Linked DNA regions of Callithrix jacchus. The protein of the gene in region 3 interacts with the protein of the main gene of each other region in a pairwise test. Links are inferred from orthologs where the notes say so. Each region holds a gene or a part of one and is shown on either strand. Other genes may lie near its edges.

The links.
Region 1: the proteins of STK16 (region 3) and CCDC33 interact in a two-hybrid assay, tested with the Homo sapiens proteins (2 studies listed by BioGRID and IntAct). The two-hybrid records come from large-scale screens. The link is inferred for Callithrix jacchus from reciprocal best matches to the Homo sapiens genes STK16 and CCDC33.
Region 2: the proteins of STK16 (region 3) and KRTAP13-1 interact in a two-hybrid assay, tested with the Homo sapiens proteins (2 studies listed by BioGRID). The two-hybrid records come from large-scale screens. The link is inferred for Callithrix jacchus from reciprocal best matches to the Homo sapiens genes STK16 and KRTAP13-1.
Region 4: the proteins of STK16 (region 3) and RPIA interact in binary tests that used the Homo sapiens proteins (3 or more experiments, as listed by UniProt). The two-hybrid records come from large-scale screens. The link is inferred for Callithrix jacchus from reciprocal best matches to the Homo sapiens genes STK16 and RPIA.

The regions. Positions count from the first base shown.
Region 1 is NC_133509.1:21,056,817-21,060,854, forward strand, and holds the start of CCDC33 (coiled-coil domain-containing protein 33), read left to right. Parts: upstream 1-1,225; 5' UTR 1,226-1,269; coding exon 1,270-1,579; intron 1,580-2,534; coding exon 2,535-2,870; intron 2,871-4,038.
Region 2 is NC_133522.1:36,448,771-36,451,571, reverse strand, and holds KRTAP13-1 (keratin-associated protein 13-1), read right to left. Parts: upstream 1,379-2,801; 5' UTR 1,328-1,378; coding exon 809-1,327; 3' UTR 514-808; downstream 1-513. UniProt on the Homo sapiens protein: In the hair cortex, hair keratin intermediate filaments are embedded in an interfilamentous matrix, consisting of hair keratin-associated proteins (KRTAP), which are essential for the formation of a rigid and resistant hair shaft through their extensive disulfide bond cross-linking with abundant cysteine residues of hair keratins.
Region 3 is NC_133507.1:140,988,158-140,992,110, forward strand, and holds the start of STK16 (serine/threonine-protein kinase 16), read left to right. Parts: upstream 1-1,140; 5' UTR 1,141-1,322; exon of another isoform or gene 1,323-1,548; 5' UTR 1,549-1,652; coding exon 1,653-1,738; intron 1,739-2,304; coding exon 2,305-2,524; intron 2,525-2,757; coding exon 2,758-2,891; intron 2,892-3,013; coding exon of another isoform or gene 3,014-3,057; coding exon 3,058-3,178; intron 3,179-3,283; coding exon of another isoform or gene 3,284-3,303; coding exon 3,304-3,399; intron 3,400-3,811; coding exon 3,812-3,933; intron 3,934-3,953. UniProt on the Homo sapiens protein: Membrane-associated protein kinase that phosphorylates on serine and threonine residues. In vitro substrates include DRG1, ENO1 and EIF4EBP1. Also autophosphorylates. May be involved in secretory vesicle trafficking or intracellular signaling.
Region 4 is NC_133515.1:25,431,906-25,436,104, reverse strand, and holds the start of RPIA (ribose-5-phosphate isomerase), read left to right. Parts: upstream 1-1,386; 5' UTR 1,387-1,426; coding exon 1,427-1,711; intron 1,712-4,199. UniProt on the Homo sapiens protein: Catalyzes the reversible conversion of ribose-5-phosphate to ribulose 5-phosphate and participates in the first step of the non-oxidative branch of the pentose phosphate pathway.

The sequences.
Region 1 (4,038 bases), on a different chromosome or scaffold from region 3:
GCCTCCCATTGTAAGTCTTAATTAAGAAGGTAAACAAGGCCAGGTGTGGTGGTTCATGCCTGTAATCCTAGCACTTTGGGAGACCAAGGTGGGTAGATCACTTGAAGTCAGGAGTTTGAGACCATCCTGGCCAACATGGTGAAATCCTGTCTCTACTAAAAATACAAAAATTAGCTGGGTGTGGTGGCACATGCCTGTAGTCTTAGCTACTTGGGAGGCTGACGCAGAATGGCTTGAACCTAGGAGGTGAGGTTGCAGTAACTGAGATCCTGCCATTGCACTCCAGCCTGGGCGACAGAGCGAGACTCTGCCTCGAAAAAAAAAAAAAGAAAAGAAGAGGAAAGTAAACTAAGGGCTTGTTCCCTGAAAATAGACACGGTCTCCCTTCCCTTGAGACTCCCTGCACCTCAAGTCAATGGGAATGAATAGGCACATAGAGATAGGCTCTCCCCGAATGGGAAGTTCTGGATATCACATATCCACATGCTCCCCATACCAGAATCTTCATCCTCGACCTGCTTTCAATTTTTCCATAGAATTTAGCATCTTTGTGCCAGGTATAGTAGCCAATGCCTATAATCCCAGCACTTTGCAAGGCTGAGGTGGGCAGCTCACCTGAGGTCAGGCATTCGAGACTAGCCTGGCCAACATGGCAAAACGCTGTTTCTACTAAAAATACAAAAAAAAATTAACTGGGTATGGTGGTAAACGCCTGTAATCCCAGCTACTCAGGAGGCTGAGGCAGGAGAATCGCTTGAACCAGGAGGTGGAGGTTGCAGTGAGGCGAGATCACCGCCATTGCACTCCAGCCTGCCTGAGAGATGAAAGCAACACTCCATCTCAAAAAAAAAAAAAAAAAAAAAATTAGCATCTTCTAGCATACATTATAATTTACTTATGTTCTATGTTTAGTGTTTATTTTTGTCTGTCTCTACACACCTCTCCCACTAGAAGATAAACTTCAGAGGGCTGGAGTTACTGTTTGGTTCACTGCTGGATTCCAAACGCCTAAAATAGTGTCTGGCACGCAGTAGGTGCTCAAGAAATATTTGTTGAAGGAACAAATGCTAAAGGGAAGGGATTGATGGAACAAAAGTTTCCTGGGTCAGGCCCAGGTTCCTGCCTTGTTACCTGGTTTCTCCTCAAACAAACAGAGGTGGGTGGGGAGTGGCCCTGAGCACGCAGCCTGCAGGCTTTCAGATTGGGTTCAGGCTGGGCCGTGGGTGAGAGGGCGCAGTGCTCAGCCTGGCAGTCGATCCCCCCGTGGCCATGGCATTCAGAGGGCCTGAACCCTGGGTCTCTACATCCCTGCTGAGCCGGAGACTGAAGGCAGAGGAGAAGACCCTGGATCTAGAGTTCGAAGTTTTGAGCGTGGGGTTTAATGAGGGGGGTAGATATGCCCTGAGACTGTCAGCTGAGAACCCCTTGCAGGCGGGCTCTGGGGCTGGGGTGCAGTTGCAAGTGAATGATGGGGATCCCCTCCATGCCTGCTCTGTTGTCACTGATGTCATTGAGCAGCAGGAACCTGGCCACAGTCTCACCCTCACCAGGAACAAGTTTATCTTTACTTTGCCCAAAGGTATGAAGTGGGGGTGGGGCTTGGGGGAGAGAAAGACCCTGGAACCCCTGCCTCAGCCCCACTCTGGGACCCCAGAGAGCCTGAGGAGAACTGGGAGGGGTGGGGCTCCAGACTGCATGCCAAAGCTCTGCTGGTGTGACCTTGGGCAAATTCTGGGCCTCTGTGACCCCTGCCTCCTTCAGTGTGGCCTGGGAACTGGACGCTGATGTCCATCACGCAAGGTCAGGTGAGAAGGAAATAGAAGCGCAGATGAGAGATGGCTTTGTAAATATAAGAGCTCTGATCATACGGTGGGTTTGGGGGCCAGTCCTCGGCAGTGGACATCACACTGAGTAACGTTAGACTCAGCCCCTTGAGTGCCTGGCCCTGATCCCCACTTGATTGTGGGCATGGGGGTGTGGACAGAAATGAGGGGACCCAGGGCCCAGGACACCTGGGCCCTGCCTTCTGGAACTTCCAAAGCAGGTGAAGGGACAGGAACTTCAAGCAGAGAGAAGTAACGTGAGCTGGAATGAGAAGGAGATCTATACCTAGACTGTGAGGTCACCCCAGCAGGCTGCCTGGAGGAGGAGGGATGTGGGGGAATGGGGAAACCAGGTCACAGACTTTAAGTGGCCATAAATCAGGGGCAGGCTGAACTCTTCCCAAGTCTAAGAGTCGAGGTTGGTAGCAGGACCTGGGATCATCCCACAGGCTAAGCCCTCCCTTCCTCACCTCTGCTGGGTGGGCTTGGATTGGGTATCAGCAAAGGGAGGGAGTCCAGGGAGGGTTTCTCTGCAAATGCTGGGGGCCTAGGAGGGAGTCGCCCACCAGGGAAATCTTAGCCAAGACTGCTTGGCTTCCACTCGAAGGCTGGGCAGCCCAGGTTTCCCCAGGGCCCTGCCTGTCCTCCTAGTCCCCCAGCAGATGCAGAGAAACCTGAGACCATCTCTGAGCCCCGTGTTCCCTCATCCAGGTTTCTGCAAGAATGATGGGCAGCATGACGCTCAGCTGCGCGTGGAGGCGCTGAGGCTGGACGAACCCTCAGGATGGACGACCCAGCGGGTGGGTGAGGCCATCTTCCCCATCTACCCGAGGCCGGACCAACCCCGCATGAACCCGGAGGCTCGGGACCATGAGGACCTGTACCGCTACTGTGGCAACCTGGCGCTGCTCCGGGCCAGCACGGACCCCACAGCCCGCCACTGTGGGGGCCTGGCCTACAGTGTGGCCTTCCACGTGCACCGGGACCTTCAGCCCCCAATCTCAGACAGCACTCTGGGGGCTGGCCAGCCAGAACGGATGTCACCATGCCCAGAGCCCCAGCTCCCCAAGCTGCAGGTGGGTGCTTCCCATGTCCTCGTTCAGATTTGGGCTCACTGGGCACAAGACCCAACCTCCCTGATAAGCCAGGCTAGCGCCTCTCCTGAGCTGAGCAGAGCAGCAGAGGAGCTCCCAAGGCTGCCACCTTCAGTCTGGGGAACATGCAGTCTGAGAATGGACACAGGAGTCCCAGTTTGAAGGGACAGACAGAAAATGGGCAAAGGCCACACAAATCAGGTAGCCAACTAAGTGGGGTTTCTTTTGCCCTGTGGGTTAGTGACCCCTGAGCCCCTTCAGTTCCCAACCTTGTTCTCACCAGATTTTGCGGAAGGCCCCAGGTAACCAGGGAACACAAATGTCTTCTGTGTGCCCATCCTCAAGCCCATCCAGCATCCACCCTGCCCAGGAGGGGCTTGGCTCCAACCCAGGACCCAGGTGAGAGGGTCTAGTCCTTATCCAAAATATAGGAGGCTTCTCCCCTATGGCCATGCTCTGTGACGAGAGAGTGTGTCTGGTAGGCTTCACGGCCAGCGCAGATAGCAGCTGGTAGAGCGAGTAGTCACCCATTTGACAGGTGGAGAAACAGGCCCAAGGTACGCTTGACTCCACTTAATGTCAACAGCATTTCCTGGAGACTTCAGTGCATAATAGTGCACAGGATCCAAAACTGATCAGCCCCTAAGCTCAGGGGGTCGCCTGGCTTGAAGACAGTTGGGTATAGTGAGGGCATCATCCATGGTCCTGTAGGGCATGGCTGGCTGGCAGGAGAGTTCTGGTGAGGGAGTGTGCATGTCGGATTTTGGTGCCTGGGAATGGCTTCTTGGAAGAGGGGTCGTTTGAGATGAATCTTCCCATTTATTCATTCATTTACTCTTTAATCCATTAATTCATCCATCAAACATTTGTTAAATGCCAACTTTGCCGACTGCATGCTACGAGGGTGAGATTTAGGGACAGCAATCCTGGGCTCTGGGGAGGGTGTTCCAGGAGGAGGGACCACAATGCACTAGGTAAGGAAAAGGGGGAGGTTCGGCTGGCAGCAGAGGATAAGCTGAGGTTGGAGCCTGCAGCTGACAAGCAGAGACGCCTGGCCCACCTGTGGAGTCTCTCTCCCTGGAGATGGGAGAAAGTGGAGGGGGTCGAGGGCACCAGAGCAG
Region 2 (2,801 bases), on a different chromosome or scaffold from region 3:
TCCCTTATTACACATGTGTAGATAATTGGATCATATTGAATTCTCATCAATAAGATACAGACATTTGATCGTGATTGCCAACAAATACTGGGTGACTTTAAAAAAGTTACTTGAAATCATTTTGATTTGTCTTCAATTCAATTTTGCTTGTATGTATGTCTATAACCATATAGATCTAAGTTTTATTTTTGTTCCCTGAAGATTCCTGATATAACTGTCAGCTAGTTTTCTACCTTATTCTTATTGGCCTTGTCACAAGAATCAACATTTCATAAGGGAACCAAGCTAATTCCCGAGTCTGAGATTTTAATGAACAAAAGCCTGTGTATTTAGTAGACATCTACTACCTGTAGTCTGAGTAACAAAAATCTCTGAACCCCCAAAAGTTTGTTTGAATCCCAAACTTCATATGGTTTTCAAACCTATTCCTATATATATACCAGTTGTTTCATAATAATCCCCTAAATATGTCACAACCAAAACTTGGCAATAAAAAACCACCACAAACATAGCTGAATATCAGACCAGTAGATTTATTTCGTTAAAATGATTTGACTTTTTCCACAATTGTGGAAAAAATAAAATAATATAAATTCTAACTTTAATGTGTACTTCAAGATTATTTTGGGTTAGTACACAGGTTTTCAGATGAAGCCTGCCAGTCAGTATCTGGGGCCAAAGACAAATTGAGAACTTGATAATTAGAGAATAAGAGGCTAATTCTTTCTGTACAAGATGAAGACAATAAAGGTTATGAGTAGAGACATTAATGGCATCGGCCAATAAAATTAGCAGTTTAACAAGATGATCAATAATAGAAGCCTGATCCACAAGTTGGTCTGTAACAAGAAGACTGGCAGCTCCTAGAAGCCAAGTAGGTTGGGCGGCAGAATCCAGATCCATAGCCCAGGGAAGGGAAGCCGCAGCCTCCATAACCCAGGGATCTGAAGCCACTGGATCCGCAGCCCACTGAGTAGCAGCTCCTAGATCCATAGCCCAGGGGGCGGCAGCTGCTGGAGCCAAAGCCTAGAGGCCCAGAGTAAGTCGTCTGGCAGGGATTGAAGAGCACAGAGGTTCTCGGGCGGTAGCAGGAGGTCTGGCAGGGGCTGGACTCCACACAGGATGTCTGGTAGCTGGTGGGCTCGCAGCAGGGCTCCTGACAGCCCCCGTAGAGAGAGGAACCCAGCTGGCAGGTGCTGGGAGAGCAGAGGTCAGTGCTGTAGACCAGGTTGCTGGGGTAGGAAGAGCCACAGGAGGAGCCTGGGTAGCGCATGTAGCCCCCACAGGAGCGGGAGGAGAAGTTTCCAGAGCAGCAGTTGTAGGACATGTTGACGGGAGATGTGAGTTCAGCTGAGTTACACTGAGAAGATCTGAGTTTGGATGCCACTCCTGGAAGGGACCATTTATATACTTTCAACTGTGGGTGTGGCACCTGACAGGGTCATCCTTCACGTGTTTGAGCTCCCACATTTGCATATAAGTAACTTAGTAATCTTTGTAATTGCAGTTAACACGCTTCATCTTATATTTATGGAAGAACTCATTTTGTTTTTACAGCTCTGCGTCAATGAAATACATTTATGTTACAAATGCTATGACTGTATGTGATTAATGTCCACTCCATTATGGCCAGGAAGACCCCTCTTATTTTCTCTGGCCATGATTTACACACTTGCTCCTGTTTTGGCTGGGAAATTCTTTCTGTCTTGGATGGGGATGGCAATGTACTCATATTTTTTGTCAGTGGCCTAGCAGCAGAAATTTTATTGGTTCACACTCTCCAAAATAGTTTGCCGTCTATTATTTACTATAAGCAATGTTTATCATTGCTGTCTCAAGGACTATGTAAAAGTAATCCAGAGGGATTGAGAGATAACTAAAACCAGATATCATCTTGAACACGTTTAGAAAAAAAAATTAGTGTTTAGAAAAAAGAAATCAAAACAAAAGCCAAAAAAAATGAAAAACATCAATATGGACAAATGTGGAAAAAGCAAACCTCACCTCACTGCTAAGATAAGGTAGGAAATAAAGCACAGTAGCAGAAGGATGATCAGGACTGCCAGGGTTCCAGCTAACTGATGGGTAGTCCATCCTGAAAGCAAATCAAAATGCTTTCAAATAGACGTATTTAATAGCTTTTGTATGATGCATTCATATTTGTAAGTGTCCTGGAGCCTGCATGCTTATAACACCTCAAAACCCCCACCTCAGTATTCTGAATGCTTTCTGAGTATTTCCAGAATAATGCCACCAGCTTTTATGTTTTTCCCTCTTCTTGTGGGACGTGACTCTGTCCCAGCCCTCTTTAAAGAGATGGATTTAGGTTGTGTGGGTGTGGAAAAATATAATTTGGGGATCCTCATTAAAAATACCATATTATGAATATAATAATAGATATAAACACAGATATTAATATAGAATAAACACTTCCAAAGTTAACAAAACTCAAGACATCACAAAATCAAGACAATAATATACCATTATCATCATCATCTATAACCTTTTCCTATATTTTTTGGCTGCATCCTCTTGGATCATCTCCACATAGGACAATGATTTTTTCAACATGATTTTCTGCAGAACAAATGGAAGTAAAATTCAGTGTGTTTTAGAAATAGTATATCAAAACTACTTGAATTACTTTTTAATGACACAGAAAAGTGTTTTTTTTTTACATTGCCATTTCTTGTGAGCAGTGCCACAGCTGTAACATCTTCTGTCATTTCTTTTCAGCAGTGCTTCAAGCCTGAGATTGTGCGCCTCTCATCCAGATGTCCCTGGTTTACCTCCCACCTGTG
Region 3 (3,953 bases):
ACAGCAGGTTAAATCTAGATGAATGAATGTCAGAACCAAAGAGCTAAAACATGTTCAGAACCAAGGGAAACCACTGGAAAATCTTCAGCGTGATCCGGGGTGTGGAAGGGGGCAACCAGGTCATAGAAGGACCTTTTTCCTGAGACCCCTGTTTCAGCAAAACAGCCATTCCCTCCTGGCCATTCCACCTTCATTGGAAGTGCACCCTTCTCCAGCTTACCCCTGCCTGCCTCGGCAACAGATGTCAAGGACAATTGCTTTGTGCCAAGGCTTGGAAATTTGTGAATTTCCGTTCCTTTTGCTTTTACAGTTTCAAGCATGGGATGTGAAGATCAGGGTAATAATAATTACTGTTGACACGTACTGAAGGCTATGTGTCAGATATTGTATTAAACACTGTATATCTCATCTAATCTTCAAACAAGTCCACGAGGTAGATAATATCATTTCCATTTCACAGAGGAGGAGAGGAAAGGACGGAAACATTAAGTAGCCTGTCCAAGGTCAGGCAACTATGTTAATAGAGCTGGCATTTCAACTAGTCAGTCCCGCCTCACGGTTAAGCTACTTAACCTTAGGTACTAATACCTTTTTTCAGGTACCAAAATTAATGATCCAAGAAGTTAAGAAACTTGCGCGAGTTTACACAGCTAGTATGCTATTAACATTCAATTTAGAAACTGAAAGTCTGGTTCACAAGCCTGAGCTCTGAATCACTGAGACTAAGGGTAGTGCGATACAGCCCAGAGCCCGGAAGTTGTACGGGATCAGCAATCCAGACCACCAGACCCGCCCCTCCCTGGATCCCCCTCCAGGCTGCAGTGTAGTCGGCGGCGTTCTGCCCCGGAGTGCCGGAGGTATGAAGCCTCCTACCTCCAACATTAGGAGATGGAGATCCTGGGGGCCTCGGGCCAAGCCCGGCTTTGTTCCCCTTTGGCGCAGGTGTCTGCGTCTTGACCCCTACTGAAGGCCAAGTAGAGAACCCTCACAAGAGTCCTGCGACCCGTCCCCCGCCAGGCCTAGCCCGCTCCGGGCCTCTCAGCTCGCCGCCCTCACATCCTCCGACTGCCTAGCGGTTGCTAAGATATCGCCGGCCGTTGCGCCGGTGCGGACTGATGATGTCAGCGCTGCTTCCGGTCCGTGGCGCTGCGCTCTGGCCGAGCCAGGTCAGTCGGGGAGTGCGGGCTGGCCCACCCCGGGCTCTGGGCTCCGAAGCCAGGGGTGGGCCCTGCCAGGAATGGGCTTGAGCCTCGCACGTCTTTTGAACTACCCTGTGCTCTGCCTTTGCGGCGCGACGGGCATGGGAGTGGGGCTGCCCAAAGGTGGGCTGGGGTTGGAGGAAGTGGCTGGGTAGCCGCTGTGTGTCTGTCCTGAGGCCGTAAGGCCCCTGACCCCACCCTTGGAGCTGGCGACGGAGCAGGGCCTGTTTTCCCTAGACAGTAGAGTAGTGTAGGTCCCAGAGACCTGGGCCTGAGCTCTCCGCATTGGGACTTCAGGAATCTTCTGGATTGTGCCGGACCTGCGACCCTGCCGTTGTTTTCTTTCCAGCATGATCCGCTGGGCTCCCAGCGCATCTCCTGGAAGAGCCCACTCATCTTGGACGAGCTCTTCGGTAGCCTCAGATCGTCCTTGAAGAGGATGACTGAGACATTATGGGCCACGCACTGTGTGTCTGCTCTCGGGGAACTGTCATCATTGACAATAAGCGCTACCTCTTCATCCAGAAACTGGGGGAGGGGTGAGTGTTTGGAAGTCAATTAACTAGTCCTGAAGGTTATGGTCATTGAAGGACAGCGGTCTGCACATGTTTGGGGCACAAGGGTTTTATCCCTATCCCTGTCCTCTCTCACCTGACAGCTCTTAGCTACACGGTATCGAGAAGGTGGATCCTGGAGCCAGGCCTGCTAAATCCACTTTGTGTGACTTTGATAAACCATGTTTTTTTCCATCTGCTTAATGGAGATGATTATCATGCCTCACTGATGGAGTTGTGAGGATTAAATGAGATAATATTATAAAATGTCTCACCCAGTGCTTGGTTCCTAAGTACTTGATAAGTGTTGGCTATTATTTACTTCTGTCAGGTGCAGAGATCTCTATTATGACCATAGGACCTCAAAGATTTCTATATCTCTGCTCCTGAGGAGCTCACAGTATAATATTCTTCAGATTTCACTTAGAGCCACATCTTGGGAGGGTTTCTGCTAAATGGGAAGAACACCCCACTCCCCACCAGGAAATTTCTCTAGGTCCAAGCCATGTTGGAGATGACCATGGCCCTTCATTGACCCCTTTGGCCCACAGTGGGTTCAGCTATGTGGACCTAGTGGAAGGGTTACATGATGGACACTTCTACGCCCTGAAGCGAATCCTGTGTCATGAGCAGCAGGACCGGGAGGAGGCCCAGCGAGAGGCCGACATGCATCACCTCTTCAATCACCCCAACATCCTTCACCTCGTGGCTTACTGTCTGAGGGAGCGGGGTGCTAAGCATGAGGCTTGGCTGCTGCTACCATTCTTCAAGGTCAGAAAGACTCTTGGTTATGGAGGGGGTTGCAACAGAGCCACGTACCCAAGGGCTGTGTGAGCAGTCCAGATGTTAGGAAGCAGGGACCACGTCCTGGGTGGCCGCTTTGGATTTGGGGTTTGAGGTGTGTGTCATGAAAGGCCTGATAGGCTTTGACACATGGAAGGGATCAGGCCTAGGGAGCAGAGGCTCCAAAAACATCTCCAACTTTAGGGAAACTTGTGTTGCAGAGAGGTACGCTGTGGAATGAGATAGAAAGGCTGAAGGACAAAGGCAATTTCCTGACCGAGGATCAAATCCTTCGGCTGCTGCTGGGGATCTGCAGAGGGCTTGAGGCCATTCATGCCAAGGGTTATGCCCACAGGTCAGTGGGAGGACCCTGTGTGCTTGCTGGGGCCCAGAGGAAGAGCCTCACTAAGAGAAATGGGAGGTCTCTGTTCTCTCAAGAAACAGCCTGCATGACTCTTTTGCTCACCGGGATTCCAGGCTTCCTGTCCAGAGATGTCCAGGTCATTTCTACTTCCCTACAGAGACCTGAAGCCCACCAATATATTGCTTGGAGACGAAGGGCAGCCAGTTTTAATGGACTTGGGTTCCATGAATCAAGCATGCATCCACGTGGAGGGCTCCCGCCAGGCCCTGACCCTGCAGGTAAAAGAGTCTCCATGCTCCTTTTCTCACCAGTTCCCCATTCCGCCCCTTCTGGTGCATGCCCCGGTTTGGTCACATGACCATGCCCTGTGCTCCACTTTTGAGCTCTGGGACCACTGTTCCAGGACTGGGCAGCCCAGCGGTGCACCATCTCCTACCGAGCCCCAGAACTCTTCTCTGTGCAGAGTCACTGTGTCATCGATGAGCGGACTGATGTCTGGGTGAGGAGCATGTAGGAGGGCATCTGGGTAGGGAGGGCTGTGGCTCTGTACCCACTGTGGAGTAGAGTAGGTTGTTGGTTTCTGTTGCATGGGGCCCCAGGAGCCACAATATGTCCCCATCCACTTCAACTTCCTTCCTGGGAACTGTTACTGATACTGTACCCAATTGCACCGGATGTGGTATAATCCCTGCCCCTGAACAGGGTGAATACAGCTCAGTGTCAGTACTGAAGGCACTGGCTAAGCAGCGGCTACAGAGGCCTCTGGCTGACTGGCAGTTTCTCTGGGCCCTGGCGGTACCATGTGGCTGAGGTCAGCATATTTTTAGCTTATATAGTGTCCTTTTACCACAGAAGGAGAGAGATGTCACCTCCATTGGTCCCCTTCTAGGTACTAACCAAGTTATACTCAGTCCCTAGGCTGCGTGCTATATGCCATGATGTTTGGGGAAGGCCCTTATGACATGGTGTTCCAGAAGGGTGACAGTGTGGCCCTTGCTGTGCAGAACCAACTCAGCATCCCACAAAGCCCCAGGTGAGCAAGCAATGAATGTG
Region 4 (4,199 bases), on a different chromosome or scaffold from region 3:
CAAAGTTCGTGCTATATTGGTGATGTGGTGGGGTAATTAATAAATCCCCATCTAGGTGATTCTATTAGATCAGGGTTTGGTCCTAGAATCACCGAAGGTTTGTATCCCAGCTTTGCTTATAAGCAGTGTGACCTTGATTAAGTGAGGACTTCTTTTATGCCAATGGGAATAACAGTATCCACTTTTTTGGGGGGGGATGAAGTCTCACTGTGTCTCACCCAGGCTGAAGTGCAGTGGTGTGATCTCAGCTCACTGCAGCCTCCACCTCCCAGTTCAAGCAACTTTCCCGTCTCAGCCTCCTGAGTAGCTGGCCCTACAGGCATGTGCCACCACACCCAGCTAATTTCATATTTTTAGTAGAGATGGGGTTTCACCATGTTGGCCAGGCTGGTCTCAAACTCCTGACCTCAGGTGATCCACCTGCTATGGCCTCCCAAAGTGCTGAGATTCAAATATTCAAATGTTATCTCAAACAGCTTTTCCTCCTACAGACAAAGGTGAAGACTCAGGAGCTCCCGGCCTCAGGGGGCACAGCATAGTTAGAAAATCTAGGTGATAAGTGGCAGTAGCAGTGGCCCATACCAGGGACTTGCACACGTGAGTTCTGAAGGCCTGGAATGCATTTGAAGATGAGTTCATGAACAGACAGAAAGGATTCCACTAATAGCTGAGAAACACAAAGGTCACGTGTTTGTATGGGCCTCCAGGTGGTCGGTAAGGTTGGGGTCAGCATTAGTTTCTTCTTCTGTAAAATGGGGGCAGTTAAGAATTCCTCATCCCTTAATTATTCTCAACAGCAAGAAACCTTCAAAGGTAGAGAATAAAGAGAAATCTGTTTTCATAGAAAGTCCTTGTAATGGGTGGAGCAAGGTGCAGCTACCAGGTGCAGAAGACTGTCTACAGCAAGAAGTACTTCTCAACTTGTGACCTTGGGCCTGTGCTGGTCTAGATAAACCAGCTGGCGCCGGTGTCGCATGTGAGTTTCCTAGGGAGTAGTCACCTCCAAAGGGCCGTGTCGTCTACGGAAGAGTCACTACTCTGAGGTCTAGTCCATGGCCACATTCTCACTGCTGGGAGAAACAACAGGGTCAAGTCTAACAGTCCTTTCCCAGATGAAAAACATCCCTAACGGTGACATAAGCACACGTCCCTCGAGTAAGGAGCCATAAACGGATCTTCCCGCGTCTAAGCGTACTTTATAGAGCGACGCGCCAGAGGCCGTCGCCTGCAATTGCGCATCCGGTCACGGAGAGCATTATGGGATTGGTAGTCCAGACTGAGGCGCAGATGCGGGTCGCTGAAGCGATAGAACTACATTTCCCAGCAAGGCCCACGGAGCAGGGCACACAAACCGTGTACGTAAGTGACCAGACTTCCGGACGAGCCAGGGGCGGGACCTCAGCGGAGGCCTGAGCGAGGCGTCGGGATGCAGCGCCCCGGGCCCTTCAGCACCCTCTACGGGCGGGTCTTGGCCCCGCTGCCCGGGAGGGCCGGGGGCGCGGTCTCAGGCGGAGGAGGGAACAGCTGGGACCTCCCGGGTTCCCACGTGCGGCTGCCGGGGCGTGCACAGTCCGGGACCCGCGGCGGTGCTGGCAACACAAGCACCAGCTGCGGGGACTCTAACAGCGTCCGCCCGGCCCCCTCAACGATGTCCAAGGCCGAGGAGGCCAAGAAGCTGGCGGGTCGCGCGGCTGTGGAGAACCACGTGAGGGTGAGCTCCTCGGGGCGTGGGGCACATGTTCTCGGCGTGTTGGGCTCCTGTTGCGCCTTCTGGGTACTGCCGGGGCGCGCCTAGCTCCTGGCAGGGCGGGTGCTAAGTGAGAGGGTAGAGGGTGTGCACTTTACCGGAGTTTAGACCCCTCTTCCCTGCTCCTTAAAGACCTTTTAGAAGTAGAATCGGTTAGGGGCGAATCTTCTTATACTTGAGCTTTCTAAAGATTCCTTGTCCAGCTGGAGCAGTTTTCACAGGGGAGCCTGGTGGCGTCTGATGCTTGTAGTGGGGGCTAGAGGCACTTGCCTTGTGGCCTCCGTATCAACAAAAGGAATATGGTGGGCTTTGGGGCTGCGGAGCGGTTTTCATTTCTCTTTACGGACCCGGAAGCCAGCGGAGAGTTGGTTTGCTAGTACTTTGAAATTTGAGTTGAAGGAGGCTCTTGGCTTGGTGCGCACCGGCCCCTGACTGTACTCCTGGAGGGAAGGGAAGACCCGGGGCTTCATACCTTTTTCTTTCCATAGGGCGGGGTGGACTAAGTCTGGAGGATGCTGTTTTGTTTTTGTTTTTTTTTTAAAGCCGGGCTGCGGAGATGTTTAGCTGTTATTTATTCAGGCCGTGGCCCCTACTTGTTTGTTAAATGGTGGATATGGTGCTATTAGTGGAGTTTTTATAATCCAAGTGGTTTTGCTGTCACCAATCAAGTTAGTTATGTTAATTATAATAAGGAAACCTAGTGGAGTATGTCTGCCCTGTGGTGTAGTTTCCTTGGTCTTACTGTCTTTTTATCTCCCATTTCTACTTATTAGAAAGTGGTATTAGATTTCCCCTTTCTTTTCTGATGATAGTTCTTTACATCTGTTAATGCTTTGCTCTACATAATTAATTTGCTTAGATGATGTTGTATGAGCTTCACCACAGCCTGTTTGAGTGGGAGTGGCCAGTGTGGTAACCTGTGGCTCAGCCAGTTCTGTAGAAGGGATGTACCAGTGTGCCCTTCTACCGTTTCCACTCCTGCCCTGTTCTGGTGTAGCTTGTTGCAAGTCTGGTTGGCAATAGGATTTTCTATGGGGATTAACAGAGATAATGTAAAATGTATTAATTTGACCCTACCTTTGGGATTCAGTGCCTCAGTTGTAAAGTTGAGACAATTAGCTGAAAATTCAAAATATCTGCATAAAGTGAATAGCTAACGGACAAATGAAATCCACATGAGAATACAATTAGAAAAGCCCAATATCCAAGTTTTCCTGTTAACGAATTTACATTAATATTTGGTGGCACATCTCCCTGACACTTGTATTATAGTTATGTATTTGGTTAAATAAAAATCTGCAAGCCCTAACCTTAGGCTAGAGCCCCAAAACACTGGATTCTGACCGCATCATTTCATGAAGTTAGCAGGTGATTTTGGGGAGATCTACATTGGCCTTTCGGGGGCACCTGTTAAAATCATGTATGCCTTTCAGGGTTTGGCTTAAAGGCCATTTCCTCCTTTCAGTTTTGCCTTAGCATTCTAAGGAGAGGGAGATTTCTTCTCTGTGATTCTGTAGCACTTCATGCCACTTGCATGCTTTATGTTGTATTTTATGTTCTCATCATCTGTGTGTTCATTTCTTCCAGCGCCTTAAAGGGTAAGCTCCTGGAGGGTAGTTAACCTTCATTTAGCATTGGTCACAGTGGGGACTGCCCAGTAAATGTTTGTTCAGTTGTGTGCAGTGTGGACACAAATATGAAAGTATTGGGGTTATTGGAGGCTCTTTGTATAGAATTTCTGGGGAGTAGCACTTCCTGTTCCCTAGTCCATTGTTGTTCCAATATGGTAACAACTTCCATGTCTGGGTGGATGGAAGACTGAGAGTTCTCAGGTGAATCGTTTGTATAGCCACCCTGGACCCAGCTCTGTCTGTTTCTGGGGGTGTAGCCATCTAGGATGGGTCGCTTTGCAGATCTACTTTCTTCTGAACATCTGTAGCCTCATCCCTTTGTTCTCTTTGGAGCTTGGGCTTTGTTTTTTGACTGGCTTGGTTGAGGAAGCTGATGGACAATGATTCTAGTTGGTTAGCAGTAGTATGTATTTCCAAAGTTACTCCATTCGACAAGCTGAGTGAAGTTCTGATGTTGCACATACATGTGGTTTAATATTGCCCATTAGAATGGGGCCACTCCTCCAGCAGGGCCTGGTTGGTAGTCTTCTGCTGTTGGGCTGCATCATAGGCAGTCTTTGGTCACCTCTGGTTGGCTTTGGCAAGGGCACTGATTCCTAGGCCAGTCATTTGATTCCAAGGCCTCAGCGATTACGTGGTTGAAGAGCTTTAGGCTTGGCAGGCCCTTGCAATTACTGGTCTCTTCCAAAAGGCAAAGAAGGAGCCTTGTACAGAGCTTGTCTGATTCATCCAAGTTCGTCTCTCTGCTACCTGCCTTCTGGGGACTGTGAGTGACATGAATGTATGGATAAGCTTGGTAACCAGGAGTTTGGTGATTGAAT